Oreochromis niloticus: one gene and its partners. The protein of the gene in region 1 purifies or fractionates together with the protein of each later gene. This does not show direct contact. Links are inferred from orthologs where the notes say so. Each region holds a gene or a part of one and is shown in the gene's direction. Other genes may lie near its edges.

Region 1 (7,233 bases):
GGAGTGATCACAGCCTTTGTTGTAGTAGATTTCTCAGTGGTATTAACAAAATCAAATATTCTTCTAAAATTGACTATTTTAGAAGTACTATTTTTATGCTCGAGGATGTTATCTCACATGCTTTACTGATATTTGTAGTAGTGTCATATCTTCAGCAACTAAATAATTCTAAAAAAAAAAAAGATGTGCTATAATTTGCATAAAAGCTCTGGGTGCTGTAGAATCGAGCCTGATGTGAACTATAAATTTGTCCCAGGAGGAAAATGCAATTTTGTCACAGTTGGTGGTTTCTATGGTTTGTAAAGCTTAATTAAACACTTTCTGGAAGCTTATTTCACAAACCTCAATCAATATTCTTGTGTCAGTTGTTTTTACATATTCCTCATGCATGCACCTTTTTAATCATGCAGTATGAGCCGCCACATAGCCAACGGATTAAAGTATATCTTTCCTGTATCTAAATCCAGATGAAGCCGCTCCTTGAAGCCCCTCCCCCCCAAAAAATCAGTCTCTATGGAAAAAAAGGACAACCTGCAAACTGAGTTCTAAACAAAAACAAATTTATTCAAATGATCACACAGAGTTATAAGTGTCAGTTTAGCATCCAGCACTTAATCCTCAAGGTCAAAATGAAAACATGGCAGCACAGAGAGGCCTGATAACCAAAGAAAAATGCTACGGATTTAGTAAATCCTTTCATTGCATGTGTGTATGTGTGTTACAGTAAGAAATTAAATGTGCTTTTCTTGATTTTACTTTTTGTTTTTGCAACACATTACACTATTTAGCACTTATGCATACATGCAACTTCGGTTAAGTCCAGCGTCCCTGACAGTAGTGAGGTACCCACAAACCAGTCATCAGAAACATCCTCCCTGTTCTACGAGCTGTGCTCGATCATGAGATCGGAATTTAAATGGAGGAAACTCAATGAACAGAGAGGTTGTTGAAAACAGAAAGTCCCAGAGTTATCTTTATAAATATCTCCCACATTACTCCTTCAACAACAGACTTAAATTATCCACAAAAAACATAACAATAGATTTAATAGAGTGTTATGGCATCCCTGAATTCCTATCTAACGAATAAAAAAAATTCTTCTTCCGAGATATAATCTTAACTGACAATAATTCATGGCATTAAAAAATATGGACGTTAAATCAACATTTTTAAAGGGGCTAAATTGTAAAGTATCATTTTATATTTAATAAACCATGCATTTTTGTATCCAATATGGATACCATCTGAATAATATTTCTAATATTTCTGTTTTTCTTCAGTTAAATGAAATAAATCCTTATCTGAGCAGCTGAGGTGAACTGCTATAAGCGATATTAGTGCAACATCAAAATGTGATCAAGGATGGAGTTTTCAGATGTTGCGACTCACCTTGTTAGACCTCGTTGACCTCCTGTGTGTTTGCATAACATCCCTACAAAGTAAAGATTATTACACAGAGGGGATAAAAAACAAGAATTTTCCATTTCTAAATCACACCCTCGCCACATTCTTCAAGTCAAACCAAAACACCGGCTTATTGTTGCCTATTTGTCACTTTGTGTCTGAGTGGATTTTCCCTCCTAATATGGCTTCCTCGGCTCTTTTGTGTTTCTGGACGGTGATCTGCAGCTGCCAATACTTGAGGTACACCCACATGAGGCTTCCGTTCTTCCTCCTGTCCATGTTTAGCAGGTCGGCACAATGCTTGTCTCTCTTAAAAATATCCTTCAGGTCAGTCTCTAGATCCAGGTCTGCCCCAATGGGATCTTTAACGACCTTAAGCAGCATGTTCTTCTCCATCTCCAGCCGCTGATCTCGAGGCTGGATGAGGGAGCAGTAGGCGTTCTGCCGCTCCACAAGTAAACCCTCCAGCTCCTTCAGAGTGACTGTGGCTCGGTTGTACCAGTTCTGCTCTTTTTCCAGAGCTTGATGCAGCAGAGCACCTGCAGCTCCAGATTTCACCAACTTTTGCTTCTCTTCCTCTAAGGACTCTCGCTCCTTGTTAGAAGATAGAATTCAAGGTTAGTGAGTAAAGGCTATGCATTACAAAAGAAAATGACACAATGATAAAATGGGTGCAATGTTCAATGTAAAAGGAGGACAACAAAAGACAGATGTGTAGCAGGTAACTGAGATGGAAGAAAACAAAGGCTTGAGATAGATTTCTACTCATTAGCTCTGTTATCCCTTATAAACCCTTCAGCAGATCTTTACCTGCTGTAACTGCTTCCTTTCTTCCATAAGCTGCTGGCTCTGTGAGACCAAGGCCTGCTTGTAGCCTTTGACCCGCTGTCTCTCTTTCTCCAGCTCCAGCTCCAGCGTAGCTGCTGCCCTGCGCCTCTCGGTAAGTGTCTCCCGGTAACGGGCCTCCATCTCACTTTTTATTGTAGACACATCTTTGTCATACTGAGCTTTCACCTTCTGGATCTCCCTCTGAGATTCTCTGGTCCAGATCCATCCTGAAAGGGCAATGGGATAAAAAAAAAAAAAAAAAAAAAATGGGGAAGATGTTAAGTGATACTGCCATGATTTTCTGAAGAGTAGAGTAGCTGGAGCTACTTATGAACTGCAAATTTTATAAAATCACAGCAATGACTTCATCTAAGTAACAGAGATGATCTATCATACAATCACACACAGATCAGAACAGATGCACGCTGGGCAAGTACACAAGCAGTTGTGTGCATCTTGTCAATAAAAAAAACCAACAACAACAAAACAAAAAGTTGTTCTGTATATTACAACTGTTGCAGGTGTTTCCCCCCTGTTTTAAAGTAGGTAAAGTTGTGCAAGAAACCTCTACTGTGCTTAACCTGGAATGGTAATACCCTGCTATGGTCAAAAAGTCTCCTTTCAGTGCAATAATTTTTACTGAGCTGCAGTTCAGTCTACTTTTTTCCCCACTTCTGTGTTAATCATTAAATGCCGTTTGGCATTCTAATGACAAAAGAGACTGTGCCAGTGAATAGTTACAGTATACTGTGTGTGTCTGTAAGCCAGGGGACTCACTGATCATAATATTCCTTTGCCTGCTCCCTTTAAGGATCACCACAGCAGATCAAAAAAGCAGATCATTTGCCTCCATCTCTGCTCCTTAGCGTCCTCCTCTGTCATGACATTCATCAATACTATATTGTAAGACTTCCCTTCCACTCTTGAAATTGATATGCTGTTCTACTCTGTTGTCTCATCCACAGTCACACCGGCAAACCTCCTTGCGTAACTTACGAAATGCAGCCAGTCCCAGCATGGGGACCAGCAGGGCGTAGTTCCACTGGTTGCCATCGCCTGCGCCCGCCCCCCTTCCTCTGGGATCTGGTTGGATGTTCCATCTTGGGGGATCATTCAAGTTGTTCATGGAGGCCGCTGTTACACACACACACACACACAAACAAACACAAAGAGAGATCAGCCCAAAGCATCACCAACAATTGACTCTTTTTTAAATTTTTATTTGTGAGTTGCATATATTCTCAGTGGTGTTTTTTTCTTTGACACGTCTATTATTTACTCTGCATTAACTATCGCATCATTTGCCACTCGCTGAATAAAAAGCAGTGAATAAACGCCAATGTATCTGCTAGGGTGTGTAACCTGCAAAACAGTGTTTAGAATAAGCACTGGATGTGAAAGTGCGTTAACAAATCGCTTTTTAGCATGAATCCAAACAATGCACCGGGCATACAGGGCGAAAACAGCCTCACATGATTCGGAAGTTTGACAGCTCAGCTAACCACAAACAAAGCTAGCTATGTGCTACATGCTAGCCAACATTTGGCGCCGTGGCTCGTCATTGTGTTTATTTTAAAAAAACAACAGAACGAAGGGGCTTCGTAGTTTTGCAATCCCGACAACGTGTCAGCGTACGCCTGTTAAATGTATGGAGCTGTGTCTCACCTTGAATGAAAAGTGTAGGTCACTTATGCATTTGTTCCTGCACACGCAGATTATACAATTTTAACGCTTTAACGTTCCATCTTAGCCGGCAGAGGGTGATTTTAAAAAGTGCTTACAAAAAGTTCCTGTAAGTGTTGCAGTAAAAAACCCTGTATATTTACTCAGATGGTTTCAAGCTAATAATTTAATAATTACCCTTAAAACACATGGCTGAATGCTTTAAATAATAACTATCATATAAATATTAAATAAATGAGCGACCCCTCTTTTAGGACATTGGTTTAGTCCAGTCCGGCAAAATATGTGTTCCTCCGCAGCGCTGCAGGAACGATCCTTCGTCTGACAACATGGCGAGTGTCCGCGCGGCGTCCCGTCTCCTCTCCAAGAGGGTTTTATCTACTGCGAAAGCAGTGAGTAGTAAAAACATGCTTTTAAAAGTTAAATAGTTAAATATGTAGTATATTGTAAAAGATAATATTTTATTTTCCCTTTTTTGTTTCTAAAACGAAGCTTTCATAACCTGCGGATTCTGCCTTGCGTAATCTGTTATGTAGCTGGTGCTGTTTCAATGTGACTCTATGAGAAAAGCTATTTTGCAGGTCCAACAAAATATTTATATTATATCTATTACACTTCTATTATCTTCACATTACACATTGTTTCTAATGGCGACTGAACTGTCCGCCTAACCAGACGTTCCGTCACCATGAAAGTCGTAAATGCCGCTGCCCTTGTGTAAAACAGTTCTCAGTAAGTAGCCGCTATTGTTAGCTACAAAAGTAAAATGGGACAATTTGCAGATATATGACAGGTTTAGACCGACGAAGATGTAAAATGACATCAGACATTATGAAAAATAACCGCCAAGAGCAAAGGTCGCTGTGAAAAATGGTCGTGCGTATTAATGCTTTTTTTTTTTGCTATGGGTTGTTTTGGAAAATGCCTTCACAGCCATTATTAAACATGGTGCTGTAAGGCTGTTAACAGAAAGTTTTGTGCTGGAGTTTTTCCCCCGATTATAAATCACTGCTGATGTCGTGGCACAGGTATAGCAGATGTTTTCGGTTGGTATGCTGCTTGTATTTTAGCAGATCATTTTCCAAAGGCAGGAGCCACTGACAGGTGATCAGACTATAACCTCCCTGTCACTTCTCATGCAGATCGTTAAACTTATAGGTTCAGCTTAACATTAATGTGTACTTTTTTTTATTTCTAATGTTAAATTAATATAAATTACACATAAATTAAATGAATCTGTTAGTCATTTCTGCTGCCTTCTGCTGCTTGTAAACATCTGATTGTTGATGCCCCACAGGTAGGGAAGCCACCAAACAGAAAAAAAGAGAAAAAGATTATATATTGTTCACCAGGAGTCATTGTCTTTTTTTTCTTCTTTTTTGTAACCCTCTAAATTCAGATATTGTACTATTTTACACCAACATATGCCATTCATTTTTTTTTTTTCACGGGGAGCCTATTCTGGCAAATTTAAAAATACAGTGATAATCAACTCGGTTAATGTAAGAAGGCGATATCTGTATTTATTGCAGCCATTTATTTGTATACTTTCTACTTGATTCTACTGATAGAAACCCTGTAAATCACCTGCATTCCCCAGTACATCCAAAAATGACAGAAATAACAGAGATTATCCAGGCGTAGTATTATTTACTCTGAATTTGCAGCAAGTCTTATACTTACCCACAGTACAGTTTCTCAGGGGATCATGCTCGGTATATGAGCACACTTCAAGATGACCATTGGATAGTCTCAGTGGCCTCCTCTGTTATCTGTTGGCCAAGCAGACAGTCAATTGATCTGAGAGATGCTAGATGATAATTTAGATAATAAATCATCACCTGTGATTTATATGATATTATCATTTTAGTGTTTAAGACCCTCCTCTCTATAATCTATAATGAGCTCCTTTCCAACATGGAGAGTCTGTATTTGCATCAGTGGGATTGGAAACCTCTTCTTCACTGTGCTGTGAAGAATAAGTTGTTATAGATTTAAAGCATAAAAAATGTGAATAGTCTTAAATACATTGTGTCATGGGCAATGAAGATTAATGGTCTCTTAGCTTAGTGTAAGTTGTTTACACTAAAGTGATTTTTGGGAAATTCAGTCACTTAGTGTAAATGGTTTATTCATCATGTGTGAATAAGGATATCTCACAAAAATTATGTTAATTACTTCACATTTTGTCAGGAAAGTTTAAGTGTTCCCAATAAAGCACATGGGGCACAATATTGTTGTGTCTGTTAAAGTGATGCTTTAGTTCCTCCTACTGGCAGGTTTGTATACTTTTAGATTCAAGTCAGTGGTGAACTACAGAAGGTTTAAAATACATATGCATCTGACAAGATTGGCTGTGTAAATGCTGGTAACATTTTCAGTGATGAATGGCTGTAAATATTAATGATATGAATTATGGGTTGTGGAGGTGCTGTTAGGACTGAAGCTTTAAAACTTCACTTCATTGAATAATCATTTTGTTGTGTTTATTAGCAGATTCTGGTTTTTCAGTGTGTTTTTTGTTTGGGTTTAGTTTTAGTTTTATTTAAGTTGCTTTTTCTTCTGCCAGGTCCCTGCCGCTGCGGTTCAAGGTTCCAGGAACTTTCACTTTTCCATCTATGGCAAGAAGAAAAATGCCAAAGTATCAGATGATGTAAGCCACATTAAGTTTTTTTTTTTAATGCAGAACAGTATGTATATGATATGAATCATCAAACCAGAACTCCACATACGTAGAGTACACTCTCATTGCTTCAAACGTGTTTGCACTACATTGTCTTTTCAACTGGTTTCAGATCTCCACTCAATACCCAGTTGTGGATCATGAGTTTGATGCTGTGGTGGTTGGAGCTGGTGGAGCAGGACTGAGGGCAGCTTTTGGCCTGTCTGAGGCGGGCTTCAACACTGCCTGCGTCACCAAACTGTTCCCCACCAGGTCTCATACTGTCGCTGCACAGGTAAATCAGTGGTTACAGTAAATGATTTTGTATGTCAGTTAGAACCAAAGTCTCCATGTAATTAGCAAACTCATTGCAAATGTTTTACTAATCTTAAGGCCATCAAGTAAACACACATAATGTTTAATATTACCCTGGCTAATAGGGTGGGATTAATGCGGCTCTGGGGAACATGGAGGAGGATGACTGGAGGTGGCATTTCTATGACACAGTAAAGGGATCTGATTGGCTTGGAGACCAGGACGCTATCCACTACATGACAGAGCAGGCTCCTGCAGCCGTAGTGGAGGTAAGATCTCTCTTAAAAACACACTAACATGCATAATGAGTCATTATGTTAACTGGCAAATACTAGGCCTTA
Region 2 (7,936 bases), on another chromosome or scaffold:
TCCTTCCATCAAAAGTCAAAATGTTTACTGGAAAAATAGTAGATATTCCAAAAACGTGAAACCGACTGATGGTAAAATATAATTGTAGTGTACAAATTAATATTAGTGAAAAACTTACCTAATTAGTGGTACCTGTCTCTGTGATCTCTGTGTCTTTCCCGTTCCCGTGAATACGCCTTTTCCCTTTCTCCACTCCAGGAACGCTCCAGGTGTCTTCGAGACATTCCTGCACCTTCACAAACAGAAGAATAGTCCCTATCACGCTCTCTGTCACGACTCCTGTCCCAGTCTCTATCACGCTCTCTGCCACGACTCCGTTCCCGGTCTCTATTACGCTCTCGACTCCGTTTCAGGTCTCTTTCACGGTCTCGGTCACGGCTCCATTCCCTGTCTCTGTCCCGCTCTCGCTCTCTGTCCCGACTTCTGTCCCGGTCTCTTTCTCCAGAGCGACTTTGTTCACTGAAAGGAAATATGGTTTTGTAACAAAGTAAGAAATCTAATGCTAGGTCCAACCTCAGTATTAGTTCATATACATGCGTATATATACGTTCATATACGGACAACAACGATAGCGTTTTGATAGGCAGTTATACAAACCTGTAGCCATAGTTGCCCTGGATAGAGACTAGACAATCCTTGAGTGACGTGACCAGCGTCTGGCATCGCTCATCTCCATACACTCTGGACTGCTTAATGATGGCAATGGCAGTTAATAGCGTTTCCATGGCCACCTGCAGGTCTCCTGATGTAGAAATTTAGGAGATATTAGAAGCATTTGTTTTTTAGTAACGAAGCACTTTAAAGTTCCTAGGGTTAGGTTTAATAAAAAGTTTTTGAAAATGGGCGACAGTTACTACAAAATACATTAAAGATAGGAAAGTATCTCGGAACAGAAGCAGCAGGGAGGCTTGTTGAGTGAGAAGACATAAAACCTGGCCTGAGGTGATGATTCACCTATGTGTATACAGAGACCCAGAGCACGCAGCCAACACAAGGCTGAGAGGGCTTTGGGATAAATCTCTGCATGTTGTTAAATGTGCCAGCCGAAGCTTCATCTTAAACTCCAGTAGAAATTGTTAGAACTAAGAAAGGCTCTTATTTCACTCTGATACACCTAGAGGAAGTAACAAAATGTATGAAGAAAGTAGAAATTAAAAGTGTGCAAAGCTAGAAAAACCATAACCAAAAACCTAAAGGCCCCGAAGACACCCGTTGTGTTGTAAGAGCACTGACAATCAAATCTGATTAAACCACAACCAAACAGTCCTGATAATAAAGATGATTATTTCCAGATTTTTAATTTAATTTTCTTCTTATTTTGCCACAAATATGCTAAATTCTTGAGTCGCTCGTTATTCTTTGTATTTTTCTTCAAAGGAGCCAGTCTTTCTTGTAATTTTTGCAACTGCAGTATTTTCAATAAACTGAACAAGTGGAGAACAAAAAAAAAAATAACTGGCAGCCCCCCCCCAAAAAAAAACTATCTATAAAAAGTCATGTCCTTAAGAAATAGGAATAATCTACCAAAGAACTAGAACACAGTGTCTACAGCCATCTGTAAAACATGGTGGAGGCTCCATCATGATTTGGGGCTTCATTTCTGCCAGAGGTGTCGGGATTTTAATCAGTGCTGATGGAATTATGAGTATCATCAGATTTTGATCCACCATGCAATACCATCTGGAAAGCATCCAACAGGTAAAGGCTTCAATTTTTAATGCACTAGAAGGATAACATTGTAAAAAAAAAACCAACAACAAAAAAACAAAACAAACCGCACACAATGATGGGTGGCTCAATGCTTTAACATACACAGTACTTTTTGTTGCAGAGATCAGACTGATTAGCATTAAAACAGCATTTTCAGAGCCTTTCAAATAATGAATAAAGTCTGTAATGACTTATGTACACAACATAGTATTTAGTTTTTTATCACTAGTAAAAAAATGTATTCAAATTATATCTAAGACAAAAATATACTATGATATGTGTGTGCTTCTTAATTCAAGTGCAAGTTGTGTTGAACAACTTTACATTTTGAGTGTTTCTCCAACTGTCTGTTAATCATAGATAATAAGCATAAAAAACTGTATCCCATATGAATGTATACTTACCAGCTGTTGCACCACTCACAGCTTTTGTGATGGCACTGCTGGCAATGGTTCTGTTTCTATTCATAAGCTCCTCCAAATCTCGATCGGAACTTTTAGGTGTGTTTCTGTAAAATATACAGTTATTAGTAAAAGTAACTATTGTTTTAATGTTTTCTTTTCTTTTTTGTAACTTCTAGTCATAAGTAATCTCTATTCTCATTTATGCCTCTCTGTATCCTGCTCATTGGTTCACTTTCCACTGGAGGTTTAATCTCATCTCTCTGTAAATGCCTTTAGTGTGTCAGTGGCTATAAAAATTAAATAATGTGTTCTCACTTTTGTTGGCTGTAAGCTTTGCTGCTGTGCCCATCCTGTGCTGGGCTGAAGTATGTGGGATGCATACCAAGAGGCGGGTGGCTTGGGACAGGGACTGGATGAGGAGGGAACAGCGGGGTTGCCATGAGCGGAGCGATTGTTTGTGGCATATGTGGAAACAGGGGAGGTGGATGACCAAAAGAAGGGCCGGGTAATGGAGGAAAGCTGTTGGCAAGTGGATGTGATGGAAAAAGTGGCGGTATAGCAGACGGGGTGGTCTTCTGTGCTAATAATACTGAGAGAATCTCATCTGACGACTCAGATTCCTTGGTTTCTTTGTTAGCTCGCAAGGGTACACCTGAAAAAACCAAAAACAAAATACATCTCCATGAAAAATGATAGTTATCCTGACATTTAGTAATACAAACTAAATATCAGTGGGGGGTTTTCAGAGTCGTCTTCCCCTTACGTTTGTTTGCTTCTTCTTCAAAAAAAGCAAGGTTCTGACAAGTGGCATAGCGACAGTCTATCCTTTCCCCGTTGATTTTACACTGTGGTGCTTTTTCCAACATTAGTTTTAGTGACTCGTCTGACGTTATCACCACTTCTGCAAAGCTGCATCACAGAGTAGGAGATAAAATTTAAAAGAAAATACAAAAATGCTTTATTTTGTAAAGGTTTCTCTATATTTTACACAATACTCACCCTCTTGACACACCATTACTTCTGTCCTCAGCAAACTTGATGTCTGTGATGTTCTTCACACCCAACCCTTTGGCCATAGATATTAGGTCCTTGTCAGTTACCCACTGCAAGGATGAGAAGGTTTGTAAAAAAGAAAAAAAAACTGGTAGGGGGAAAGTCATTCAGCTTTATAGGTATAACAGATCATCTACTGTATCTATGTAGCCATTTGCTGTACTGGAATATTTAATATCGTCACAAAAACTGATAACATACTAAAGTAATGCCAACTGTGTAAACAAATGGCAAGCATGGTATAGTGTGCTATCTGTCTTGGCATTATATAAAGAACCTAAAATCAGATTATTATTTATTTTTCCAGTAATGTTTTGGTATTAACAGTGTTTCTATAATGGATGAAAATGTATTGGTAATGCAAAACTCAACTCACCCATGGGAAATGCCCAACATATACAGAAAGTCTCCTTAGATAGTTTGCTCCTTTTGGGGTATTTGCTGCTGTTGATTTATCCTCTTCTTTAGCTGATGTCTCCTTACGTAAGGACTCCTTGGTAGCTACATTCTTGTCTTGATTAACAGAACCGGTTAGCACGGCATCAAAAAGTTCATTTGCTTCTGCAATTCTATCCAAATCCTGTGAAGTATAGAAAAAGAATAATTACAGTACTGGGCAAAAGTCTTGTCAATGCTGCATATGACCACCTTTACTTTTCAACACACAAACTCTGTTAATTTTGTCTTTTAAAAAATATTTAACTAAAGAAATATACTAAAATATACAACTAAAGCCCAAAGAAACTATTCCAAATCGGTTCTTTAAGTTTCATCCTTTTAGTTAAGTATTTTTTCATGTCATAGGTGAGTGTTAAGTAGCTCAAAAACTTGCTAACATATATTCCAGTATTAGATAACGTAAAATTAAAAAAAATTAAAGGATGTGGCACCTTCCTTCTATTAAGATAAGTACCCCAGTTTTATTTTGACTGATTGCTTATTCTGTGCCTACTGCATCTTAAGTTTCATTAAACATTATGTGCGATCGTTTCATACACTGACTTTTTTTTTGCATTGATTTTAATGTCAGACTCACCTCATCGTTTTGATTCAGGTCACTATATAGATCTATATCCTTGTTATCGATGCTTGGTCCAGTTGCAGGTTGTGGTCCTGCAGCAGCCATCCCGTGGGCCGAAGATAATTAATTACTTGCAATCCAGCTAGTAATTATTATTTGTTTTAAGTGCAGCTCGCACATGCACACCTTAGAAGTTAACACAAAAGATGCACTTTTAGAATTCAAAAATTTCTCTTTTCCTTATTTTGTTAGCTAACGTTATTGTTCCGCTGGACTTGTTAAAATAAGCATACTGTGGCTAAAACTGAGTGTGACAAACCGAAAATACAGTCTGCGGAAATAAATTATAAGAAAACTGAATTTTGATGAAAACTTTCAAAAACATACAAGGTATTTCATACACATTAGCACGCGCGACCAGTTTACTTCTCATTCGTTTTCTGCTCAGCTAAAGCTAATGTTGCTACTCTGGCAATTGGTGCAGCTGACATATTCACCGGCTGAAAACAACAATCGACTTTTTGTTCCTGTAGTCAAATTGGTTTACTTTTTGGTATAGGGTCAAGCATGTATTTAGCTAATGCATTTGTCTTTGAGTAAGAAAAAAATAATAATACACAGATTAACTATATAACCTCTAAAGGTCCACCTGTGACGCCAGCTGCGTTTTCCCGCAGTTAAACACAGACACGTGTGGGCTGTGTACAGCCCTCCCTCCGGTAGTTTCCTGTGACCGTACTTGTGTAATTTCTGTCAGACAGCAGAAACATTTCGACGGGGGAGACGGAGCTTCGTCAAATTTGTGGACCTTAGAAGAAGTTGGGTTAAAATGTTGTCTTCTATTGTCGCGAAAAGGGTGAGCTAGCGAGTAATTAATAATTTGTGTGTTTGTTGCTTGAAATCTGAATCCGTGGCCGTCGTAACGTCAGAGCTCGCCGTTCAATTCTAAACATTTTTAGCGTTAATAAATCTGTCTAGTACGTTTAATGTTCAATAATAGGACGCAGTAACAGACTTAATAGTATTAAACAAACTGTTCAGTGTTTCCTGATGGTGTAGCATTATTATTGTCAGGGTTGATGTAGCTCTGATGCAGAGAGGTTGTCCTCTTGGAGGGCAGTTGTACAACAGTGCATCGAGAGTCTCAGATTATGCAATTCCCCTCTGCTTTCTGTCTTTTAGTTTAGCAGCAAATGTTTAGGATTCCAAGCCATCATAGTTATTATTATAATATTATTATAAATAACTAAAAGCGAAAACTGAAACTGGGGAGAAAGAAACGTTTTATATTATATGATTTGCATTGGTATATACTATACTGTGCAAAAAGCCTTGAACCAACCCTCACTTCTTTATAATTTGCTTCCATAGAGTCAGAAGACGTCAGGAATAGTTCTCCAAGCTTTTTGGAAGTCTTTCCATTTTTTTTTTTTTAAACATTCCCCACCCCACTCATTTTCACTCCAGTCTTTTTACCTGTTTTCCTAAGCCGCTTAATACTTACTTACCATTCATTCAAGCATAAAATATACACCTAAATCAAGGAGCCCGACGCAAAAACGCATAATTTGGTCCTATTTCTTCAGTTAAACTGATGAAAGTACAGTTTGACAGGCATAAAATTGTATTTTTCTAATGACAAGTTGATTTCTAGAGAGCTTTTAGCTGAAAACTTAACATATCTCAGTGTGATATCAAGTGTATCCTTAAAAACAAAATTTGAGCAAATTCTAAAAGGTAAAAAAAAAACAAAACAAAAAAAAACGCAACAGGTGAACAGTGTCTGAAAGTTCTGTCCTTAAGAAAAGCAGGAAAAAAATCCAGCAAAGACCCGATTCAGGAGATGCATCCGGTCCTTCAGTTGACACATTTACTATTCACTGAAGCCTCATCAGGAATGTGGAAGGGTGGCTGTCAAGAAGCCATCGTTAAAGAAGGGAAAACGTGAGAAAAGGCTGAAGTTTGCCAAGTTACACAAGGACTGAACTGAAGATCGGCGGCAACAGGTCTTATGCCATGTCTGGGGCTGCATTTCAGCCAGTGGTGTTGGAGATCTTGTCAAAACTGATGGAATTATGAAAGCAGAAAAGAACTGTCAGACTGTGATTCCCCACGTAATTTTGATTGTGTATTTTTCAGGCTTTGATGAATAGTTAGTTGGATTGAATAACCCCCAGGACAACCCCCCCTCATAAAGTGCCTTAAAAACTCAAAAACTTTTTAAAGATTGAACATCTGGAAAGTGTCTGATTGACGGCAGCTTAATTTTTCATCATGACAATGAACCCAAACACATTGTCAGTGCAGTATAAGCATAGCTGATTAAAACAAACACACACACATACTCACTGAACACTGTTGGGTCTGTTCCCACAAACCCCGCTAATTCTAGAGACTTATTCATCATGAATGAAAACAAGACAGTCAGCGATCGATCGATTACTTGCGCAAGGGAGGCCTCGTCTATGTCCAGCATGGAAGTGACCCCGATGAGGGCCTCCTCTCGCTGGCTTTTATTGACAAACTTCAAACAATAGTTTACAAAACACCTCCCCTCGCAACCCCCTTTGGTTACAAAGACAAGGCACTGTATGTATATGCATGCAGGTGTGTGTGTGTGTGTGTGTCCTCCTGCTGACCAAAGGGTCGTAAACGCAGGAAGCTTACATCAAAGGAAGTAGATCTTCCAGATAGGATGTATCTGCTATAAAACCTCCCCCAACACAAAGTGGTTAGAGGTGCTCAGGATCAAAGGAATAGCTTTGATAATACTGCTTGAACTAAGACTGTACAAATTTAAGAAACACAATGGCAACATTCAACAATTAGACCTAACAAACACCATCAGTCATTCTTCAACACTGCAGGCTCTGCTAATGAATATAGGTGGTCCTACCAAGTTTTGACCTCCAGGTTTGTTAGAACTGTACTAGTTCTATTTTTTTATATCCTGTATTTTAATGTATATTTCCACATATTTTCATAAATAACTGCACACCTTTCCCACTAAACTAGCAATAGATAAAGAAATGTGGGATGATCTTTTTTTTAGTCATTTTGTTCGTATTTGTCAAAAAGCACAAGGAAGCATGGAACATGTTTATTGTGATGTGTCTACCTGTGAGTAAATGAAGGATATTGTGTTTGTATTATAATGCCTAACACTACTATGTAAAAATATAAATAAAATGAATAATGAAATATTTGAAACAATAACACTTAAATTGGAAGACTGAAAGCCAATTTAAATTAAACAGATCTAGATCATAAAATGAGAAAATGGTAAATAAAGTTGGATGCTGATACCTGAACATAAAATACTTAAGAATATTTAGTCTCAGCATCACTCACAATTATCAGTGACGCAACGTCAGCTGAAAAATACAAACAGCTGAACACAGTCTCTAAATTGTTCCTCATGCAACTTGAACTTACTAAAGCTGTACTGGCAGTTTAACATGTAGATCTAATGCCTGTATTAGCTTTTAGATAATAATTGCTACCACAATCTTGCCCAAAGACAATATTTGTTAGTAACTACAATAATCTGATGTACTGACTCAGCATTTTCAGAAGCCACAGTGGATTATTTTACCTGTCTTTTAATGTGTGCTTGTCCCATCAGCTGGTAACCGGGATGTGCCAGGCTGCTTGGAGACCAGCAATCACAGGGCTGGTGTCGTCTCGTGGTTACCGCGGGGACTCTCCCGAAGACACCAAGGTTGACCTGATTGAGATCCCTTTGCCC
Region 3 (8,086 bases), on another chromosome or scaffold:
TTGGCAGTCTTATGTTCTTGGGCTGTTATGGATTTTACGGTAGAAAAGTGAAAGTTATGGAGGGTAATGCTGAGGTATGTCAGTCGACCCTGGGGAAAAGTCTACCCCGCTTTTCTTCCGGAGTAAAATATGTTTGCTGTGTCATAATCTTTCCAAACTCTCTGGGAGAAATGAGGATAAAAGGAAGGTCTTGGACTCATGCATATGCATTGCCGTGACATTGTGAACTCTAAGGGTTAGCACAGAAAATGATGAGTAATTATGTTTGCCGTCTGTCATATCAAAAGATGTGCTGAGCACAGGGTGGCAATGACCCAATCCCACCCTTTCACTTTCTCTCTTGTCCGATCTCTGTCATTCTCAGCTCTCCGTAGCATCTTCCTTGCCTATTTTAATTTCCCTGTCAGGCAGTCTGCTTTCTGTCTGTTTGGCTAAGCTACAAGATTCCTTGCTTGTTGACTCAGCAGTTAAGTGCATTAATTCCCCATTTCTCTCACTACTTTGGCATTCTGTCGGGTAGAAAACAAAACTCTCCTCTGGCTAGTCAAAGCCACATGATTCTATACATAAACATAGTATAAAACAGCCTTTAAAACACTAGTTTTTACTGAGATCACCGCTCTGTTACAAGCCTACTTTTGGAACTTGTATGCATAGATACACCCTTACTCTTAAATGCACCGCCTGGACTTTTGGCCTCACTGCATACATATATACATTTATTCAGCGAGGTCACACTTAGTAAGTTGGTGCTTGTCCATTTCTACTTTGTGTGAATGGAGACTGAATAAAATGAACACACTGATCTGCATTCAGTCCAAAAAATAAAGGGTCATTGAAGTGTCCAGGTTCTATGTCAGCGTGACACTGACAGACAGCCAAGCAAACCTTCTGGATGCTTTTAGTTTCATCTTTCTCTTCTGTGTGATCTGCTATGCTGTCCAACCAGTCACGTTAATGAGAGGGGCAAAGTGTTGCTGTCATGGCCTCATTGACGTTTGAAGAGGGTCCTGTAGTCAGAATCACTGTGGAGAATTCTCTTTTGAGCTCACATGCGGGAAGTGTGGTTAACAGACAGGTCAGAGAAAAGCAGCGACACACAGAGAGGAGGGGGCAGAGAAAGCCGAAACAAGGAGACACTGGAAGAACAACAAAGGGCAAGAAAGGACTCAAAGTAGCACGGTCAGTGCAAACAGAGAAAGAGAGAGAGGCACCTGAGACACGAATTAAAAAGAAAAAGATGGCAGAGGAGCAGAGATTGACAGTGTGGTCCAGACTCTGGGCATGCTCAGTGTGTCAGCTCCTCGCCTGATCACTGCAGGTTGTTAGCCAACCACCCCTCTGCTATTTTGGTGACTGAAGCATATGGGCTAACCGCACAGCCTGTTGGGAACTGTGAGTCTTCATCCCTGGTATTTTCATGGCTTTCAACTTATTGAGTGGAAACTGACAATGGATAATTGAGTGAAACCACAAATTAGTTGCCCTGCCTGCACACTTACTCATGTTGCTCCGGGGAGAATAAAAAGGGAGGGGGGGGAAAAGAAAGATAAGATAAGATCACATATGTTATGTATCTGAAATGAACACAAGCTGCTTTAGTCAGAGTGTTTTGTGCTATAAAACATTCAGCCATTTTCTTCCATTTATCCAAATCAGAGTAAGTGGAAGGGAAAAAGATGAGGTACACGGTGGGCTAATCTTTCACAGGGCTAATACCTAGTGTTAATTTAGAGTGACTAGTTATCCTAAAGCCACTAATTGCATGTCTTTGGACTGTGGGAGAAAGCTAGAGTACTCAGAGAGAACCCACACAGACACGGGGGAGAACATGCAAGCTCCACACCGAAGGGCCCCAGACCTTCTTGCTGTGAGGTAACAGTGCAACACACATCCTACCTCACGATTCACCTGAATCCTAGTGAAACATTTTAAGAATTTTATGTGTGATTAAAATGTTTTTTTTTTTATTAACTTTTGTTTTAGTCAAAGAAAGGAGGCACAAACAGCAAATACCCTTCTCTTCTAGTGCAAGTAAAAAGTATCACCGACTTAAAAATCAGCACGTACTTCTGGTTGTGTATTCATATATGAAGATATCGTTGAACTTTGTGAACTGCCCATTGAAGACAAATTCAATTTGTGTTAGAAAGTTTAGGTAGTTTTGAAAAGAATACAAAGCAACAATAGCTGCTTTGTATTCTGGGATTAAAATGACATGATTGCTCCGAGTGCAGACAAAAACACAGTTTTTGTTCTGAGCGACAGGACAACATCTGAAATGAAAAAAAAAAAGTTGAATTGTATTAGTTAGGGCCATTGATATTCTGACAGTCCTGTCGGAATATCAGTTCCTTGGAGAGAAGAAAATGTCCCTGGTGAGAGAGAGCGAAAAAAAGAAACAAAATGCTTTAAAATGCTCAAGCGAATCATCTTTTAGTCATTCTGCTTGGCTCCCACTCTCAGTGATTTTGTTTTTTTTAATACTGAAGTTACACATGCCACTCTTCACTGACACAAAGACACTGGGTGGACTTTTTATACATTCGGTAGGATTTGTTGACACACCCAGATATTATGCTGGTGCAGCAATTTTCACTTCATTTGTGCACTTACTGTGCTAAGGTTTTTTTTTTTTTTTAAAAAAGCCAGCAACCACAGAATATTTTCAGTGTGTGAAATATGGATCACTGACTTCCAGAAAGCTCTCACCCACAAGCTGGGGGAGGTTAAGAGCAAAAAAAAAAAATCAAATAAACATGAGGCAAATTCTCTCCCCGTTGACATTAAAGTGGCTCACGTTTGCAAATTTTTCTTCTTTCAAAGTTTTTCAGGGGTTTATCATTTCATCTTACATATTGACCATTAAAGGTCTCCAGAAAAAAAAAAAAAAAGATCCTTTGGTTGTAGCTGTTCATCATCATCTCCTCCCCTCTGTCATGTCCTCTCTAGCCTGCTGACACTGATGGTTTCTAAGTGAGTATCTCATCCAACTCTCCCTCTCTCTCTCTCTCCTCCTGTCATAATCACTGCTCTTTATGATCGGTTTGCCCTCTCTGCCCTTTCAAGATGCGGCGTGTAATGAGGGCTCTGGAGAACTATGTGAGTGGGCTATTTAGCTATTCAGACAAGATCAGCTCACACATCCCACGCTCTCTCTCGCTCGACTCCCTACCAATACCTTTCAGCTGAGTGCAGTGATTGTTTGTCCTGCTCGCAAGGTCACACTGTGGATGGAGCCGGAGCAGCTCCTGCATTCAACATCCATGACGGGCCTTTTAGTGTTTGCTCACCACATGGAAATTGAATGATTAAAATGGGCGATTTAAATATTCAATTCAACACTACTGTCAAATTATTTTGTAGAGCTTAATAGCTGCAAAGGCAACATAAAGGGTCAGTTTTCTCAAATTAAAATAATAATTATAACATAAAAGACATATTTCCTCCCACCAAAATCTGTGCACAGCGTATGAATCCATCATATTTTACACCAGCAGCAGCTTTTTTTTTTTTTTTTTTGCAATACTGCCAGAACTCATTAACCTTGATTTTCAAGTACTGCTTGTACATGCTGTTTGCAGACACATTAATAAGCAGCAAATAATATTATTTCTGTTAAGGCCAAAAAAAACTTGAAACTTACTCTGCAACCTTCCCCACCCACTAGATAAACAAATTATGTCTATGAGTGCTTATAGATGAACGTGTACAAATTCTTCCTGCAATTCATGTCCAGTCTGCTTGTGTGGGTTTCCTCTCACAGTGCAAAGCCAAGCATGTTACATTAATTGTGTTGATCCCCAGTTAAGAAAATGAATGGATGCATTTCCAGCAATGAGACTGAAACTAATACACACACACATCCTCCTCAACAATCCAAGCACTCAACCTCAAAAGAACAACAAAGACTGTATGCACTACCTTATCCAAGTCAGCACATTATAAATCCAAGTTACACATATGCAGTAAAGATGTATAGTTTGTTTGTGCCCTTTTCTTATGTCCTTTGATTCTTAACATTAGTGGAAAAATTAACTTGTATAGCTGTTTTTAATAATATGGTTTATAATGGTTTTCAGTTGTGGTTGTTTGTTACACATTAGTAACATAACTATTTTAAATCATAATAAAAGTGGTAAATTAGACCAGATCTTAAAAGTCAGTCTAAGATTCAAAACTCATTATATTAGAAAAAAATGAAAAAAACCTGCATGTGTAACATGAGTTTAATAGTAGAATCTAAACTCCTCTTCAGTTGGTTAAAACCCACAAATTCCAAGAGATATTCTGAGGACAGAAACTCACACTCTAACATTTATTACTTCTGTAACGTGTAAGGGAGAAAATGATGATTAAAGCCTAATAACAACAACTTTTACCATTTTTGGTTTTACCCCACATACTGCTCAGTTACAGTATTTGGTCTAATGCTCAGATGAGCATTAAGACCTCAGTAAGATCTAGTGTGCACAAAACAGAGTTCCCCATCTTGTGCAGTGTCCATTGAAGGACAGGATGCATACCAGGCTGGACACGTCTTCCTGTTAGAAGGGAGTTTTTCCTTCCCACTGTCACCAAGTGCTTGCTCATAGAGGGTCATCTGATTGTTGGGGTTTTCTCTGTGTTATAATTGGGTCCTAACTTTACAATATAAAGCACCTTGAAGCAACTGTTGTTGTGATGTAAATATGATGATGATGTAAATAAAACTGAATTGAACTGAAAGTAGAAAACTAGTCTAATACATTTTAGCTTTAACGTTTTATTCTTTACCCTTTTCTGGATGTTATCACAAATTAATTTTAGAATTAAAATGTATGTCAGGGGGATAGATCAGTATGCAGTGCAGGCAGGATTTGACTTTAGACTGATAAAAACTGCTACGTTGTTAGATTTTTAGTCTGCTCTGTTCTCACCTCTGTCCCTGTAGTTTAGACTAAGCGCCAACAATGTCCATGCCTGCTAAACATGCACACCTGACTCCACGGTGTGTATGCGTCTTTTAGAAGCACCGCCCACCTCTGATTCTTGACCTATGATCGCTCACGCGCTTCTAGCGTCATCTCCCTTTGGACTTGCGTGTCAACATGGCGGCTTCCATGGCATCCCAGGCTGTAGCGAAAGGACTCAGGATAGCTACTTCAAAGCACATACTTCTCGACAAAGCGAAGGTAGCGTTACAGCTTCTCTTGCTGATGTTACGGTCTGCTGCTCGGGCGGGGTGGCTTCGTCGCTGTCAGCGTCTCACGGCTAGGGTTAGCGTTAGCAGGTTAGCATGTGTGAGCGGACAGAGGTTTGACAGATCAAAGTTAAACAGTCTGACAGTTCACAGGTGACGTAACAATGCCGTCTTCAAGTCCTGCAGTAGGTCTAATCATGGAGGCTGTTATATATACGCGCTGCTCTACAAATGATAGTTAATCGGCAAGAGCTTGTGTGAGGAAAGCTTTTCTAATGCAGTTCTGCATGTGAATGTTACTCGTGTACACTACCTGTCACTATAACTGTGAGTCTGTAAGTTTGTGCGTTTAAGATATTTTTAATTTCTCTTTATTGCGTATAATTGAACTGCAAGGGTCTTCTCGTCAGTAAGTTATTTTGCATGCTTAGGTTCAGCACTTCTACAGTGGGCTGTGTGACCTCTGATGAGTAAAAGTCATAGTGAACAATTCCTCCAGCCTGGCTCCATTTCAGATAAGACCCGAGTAAAAAAAGGTTAACCCTTGCACTTTGAGCTTCCAGCATGTGTGTGTGAGCTGGAAACAGCAGCCAGCAGAATTCGCCTGATTAGAGTTGTCTAAGTACACAGTGGCAAATGCTTACAGTTGCACAGTTTCTCATTTAGCAAACAAAGCATTTGGTCTGGTAATTGCAAAGAGTCTTAAACATGCTGCCAGAGCTACAAAACATAAATCCCCACACCCCCTGCACTGTATTGACTAACAAACAAACCCAGTCACACAGAGCTGTGCTTTCATAATAAATTTCAAAGCTCCAGGACAAACAGATGAATAAATTACCATGTTATGCTGTACTGTCAGTTTGATGCTTTTCTGCGCAGTCGGTATCTGAGAACTGGTCTTTCAGGTTGAGGTGCCTGCATAGGTATTTGGAACATTAGTACAAATGGGACTTCTCATGCTGTGTTTACCTTTCATATTTACTCCCAGATGGATTCATATTGATGGAAACGTATTGTTTTTACAAGTCAAACAGATTTTATGTGCAGTGTGGTAGAGTATTTTTTATAGGTATTATACCTGGAGGAAAGGTGATTGACTGAAAAATAATTGTGCTTCATGCAGATCGAAAAGAAAATATGTAAATTGAACTTTTTCTTTTATCCAAATTTGTCCACATTAGCTTGGTAAATTCCTAATGCTAAAGCTATTAGAGATAATTACATGCTACATCTCAGTATCAGGACTCATTATTATTGCTTTTTAGCTTTAATATTATCAGTTATTACAAACTATTGTCAGAAATACATGTTTTGTTTTGTTTTTTTATGTCATGTGTTAATCTAGTTGCTTCTTTCTCTGCAACCATTCCAAAAGTATAGAGAGGCCCACATTTTACTACACATTTTATAAACGTATATCTATGCATCAGGCCTTTTTTTTTTCCCCCATGTGGCTGCTGCACATAGCTACAGTAGCTGTGCATTATTTTCTGAGTCCTTCCAAAATGTGGGCAACCTACAGCGTACCTTGCCAGAACATCTTGGATTGGATGCTGCTTTGATAATTTGCTGCTCACACGGTGCCTTCTATTTAGCCACATGTCTGTTTTTTTTTGGTTTTTTTTTTTAATTTAATTTAATTTTGTTTTGTTTTTTCATAATTGAAAACCTTTGGTTAATATTATTACCTAAATCAAAAAAAATGTCCCAACCAAGGCAACAAATTGCATGAAACATTTCCATTATTTTTTTTCTCATTTTCCACCTACACATTCCTTAGAGCAGGGAATGGGAGTCCCTGTAAAGGCTGCTATTGTTATATTTTTTTCCTCTAGCATTAGTTCATTAATTTTTTTTTTTTTAAATTTGTACTATAGGATTACTAAGTCTGCTATTATTATATGTCAAATATATGTGTTTTTTATTTATATATTTAAAAAAATTATTTTTTATCCATCTAAGAAAACGACTAAGTTTGCTAGTGGACAACTCCTTCACTCTTATTTTGAAAGGTCATTTGGTGCTTAAAATCTGGCCTTTCCAACTTCTGTTTTTTCAACTGGCTATCTTGCTAGCCGGGGGTGAAAAAAGAAATGTATTTCTTTTTTAGCACTTACAGCAACAACTATATGAAATATCTCTGAAATTGTTGAACCTGCATCAATAACCAACATATCTGCATAAGGTAAAATTTAGATATGTCAGTGGAGGCCAGAGACCTGGCCTGAACTGTTCCTTTAAAAAGTAAACTCTAACAAAAGTTTTTATCTCATGTTTACTGGCTCTTTACCTGCTCGTCTTCTGCTTCTTTCACTTCTTTCGCTTCTGTCTCTCTCTCGTTCGGGCCAGGTGATAAGAGTAATGATCGGGGATTTTCTCTGGTGTGTAGCACAGTATCAGGGCCTGAACAGATTGACAGTCAGGTATCGCTACAATAGAATCAAATCAGCTTTGACAGTATGTCAACTAAGCTGTGGAATTCAATTTGCAATGATTTGTCAACAACAATGCACAGGACATTGCAATATTCAGATGGTTAGGCTCCAAGATACTCCTTAAAGGAGGAGTGAGATGTTGTTGTTATTTTTTTTTTCTCTCTCACACTCTCTCTCTCTCATAAATCAAATCTCCTGAATTCTTGTCTGCACACCGAGATAATCCTCGGGCTGTTTTTCACTGTCGCTGCACAGGGATGAATTTGTAAACCTTTGCTAAGTTTTTTTTTTTGTATGGCGTGCGTGCTTGGTAATACCCCAACTGTGTTGAAGCCCAGCGTGGTTTGAAGGGGTACACTGGGAAGAAAGGTGTCTCAATGAGACTCAGTCCTGAATATTTTACAGAACAGGGTGGAGAGCCCTCTGCTTGCAACGACTTCTTTTGCTGGAACTTCAAACGACGGGA

Evidence for each region.
Region 2: the proteins of sdha (region 1) and sdhaf2 purify together in Homo sapiens (co-immunoprecipitation; 3 studies listed by BioGRID and IntAct, counting the BioPlex papers as one, with this or other methods). This does not show direct contact. The link is inferred for Oreochromis niloticus from reciprocal best matches to the Homo sapiens genes SDHA and SDHAF2.
Region 3: the proteins of sdha (region 1) and suclg2 fractionate together in Homo sapiens (co-fractionation; 3 studies listed by BioGRID, with this or other methods). This does not show direct contact. The link is inferred for Oreochromis niloticus from reciprocal best matches to the Homo sapiens genes SDHA and SUCLG2.

Annotation. Positions count from the first base shown.
Region 1 is NC_031976.2:12,123,569-12,130,801, reverse strand, and holds the start of sdha (succinate dehydrogenase [ubiquinone] flavoprotein subunit, mitochondrial), read left to right. Parts: upstream 1-4,177; 5' UTR 4,178-4,244; coding exon 4,245-4,307; intron 4,308-6,484; coding exon 6,485-6,568; intron 6,569-6,710; coding exon 6,711-6,872; intron 6,873-7,017; coding exon 7,018-7,161; intron 7,162-7,233. Other genes in the region: coiled-coil domain-containing protein 127, read right to left, coding at 1,552-1,998, 2,215-2,459, 3,229-3,358. UniProt on the Homo sapiens protein: Flavoprotein (FP) subunit of succinate dehydrogenase (SDH) that is involved in complex II of the mitochondrial electron transport chain and is responsible for transferring electrons from succinate to ubiquinone (coenzyme Q).
Region 2 is NC_031965.2:19,331,863-19,339,798, reverse strand, and holds the start of sdhaf2 (succinate dehydrogenase assembly factor 2, mitochondrial), read left to right. Parts: upstream 1-4,905; 5' UTR 4,906-5,017; coding exon 5,018-5,044; intron 5,045-7,813; coding exon 7,814-7,936. Other genes in the region: cleavage and polyadenylation specificity factor subunit 7, read right to left, coding at 133-459, 598-742, 2,115-2,218, 2,430-2,766, 2,878-3,023, 3,114-3,217, 3,544-3,747, 4,204-4,293.
Region 3 is NC_031970.2:29,603,174-29,611,259, reverse strand, and holds the start of suclg2 (succinate--CoA ligase [GDP-forming] subunit beta, mitochondrial), read left to right. Parts: upstream 1-5,017; 5' UTR 5,018-5,090; coding exon 5,091-5,174; intron 5,175-8,086. UniProt on the Homo sapiens protein: GTP-specific succinyl-CoA synthetase functions in the citric acid cycle (TCA), coupling the hydrolysis of succinyl-CoA to the synthesis of GTP and thus represents the only step of substrate-level phosphorylation in the TCA.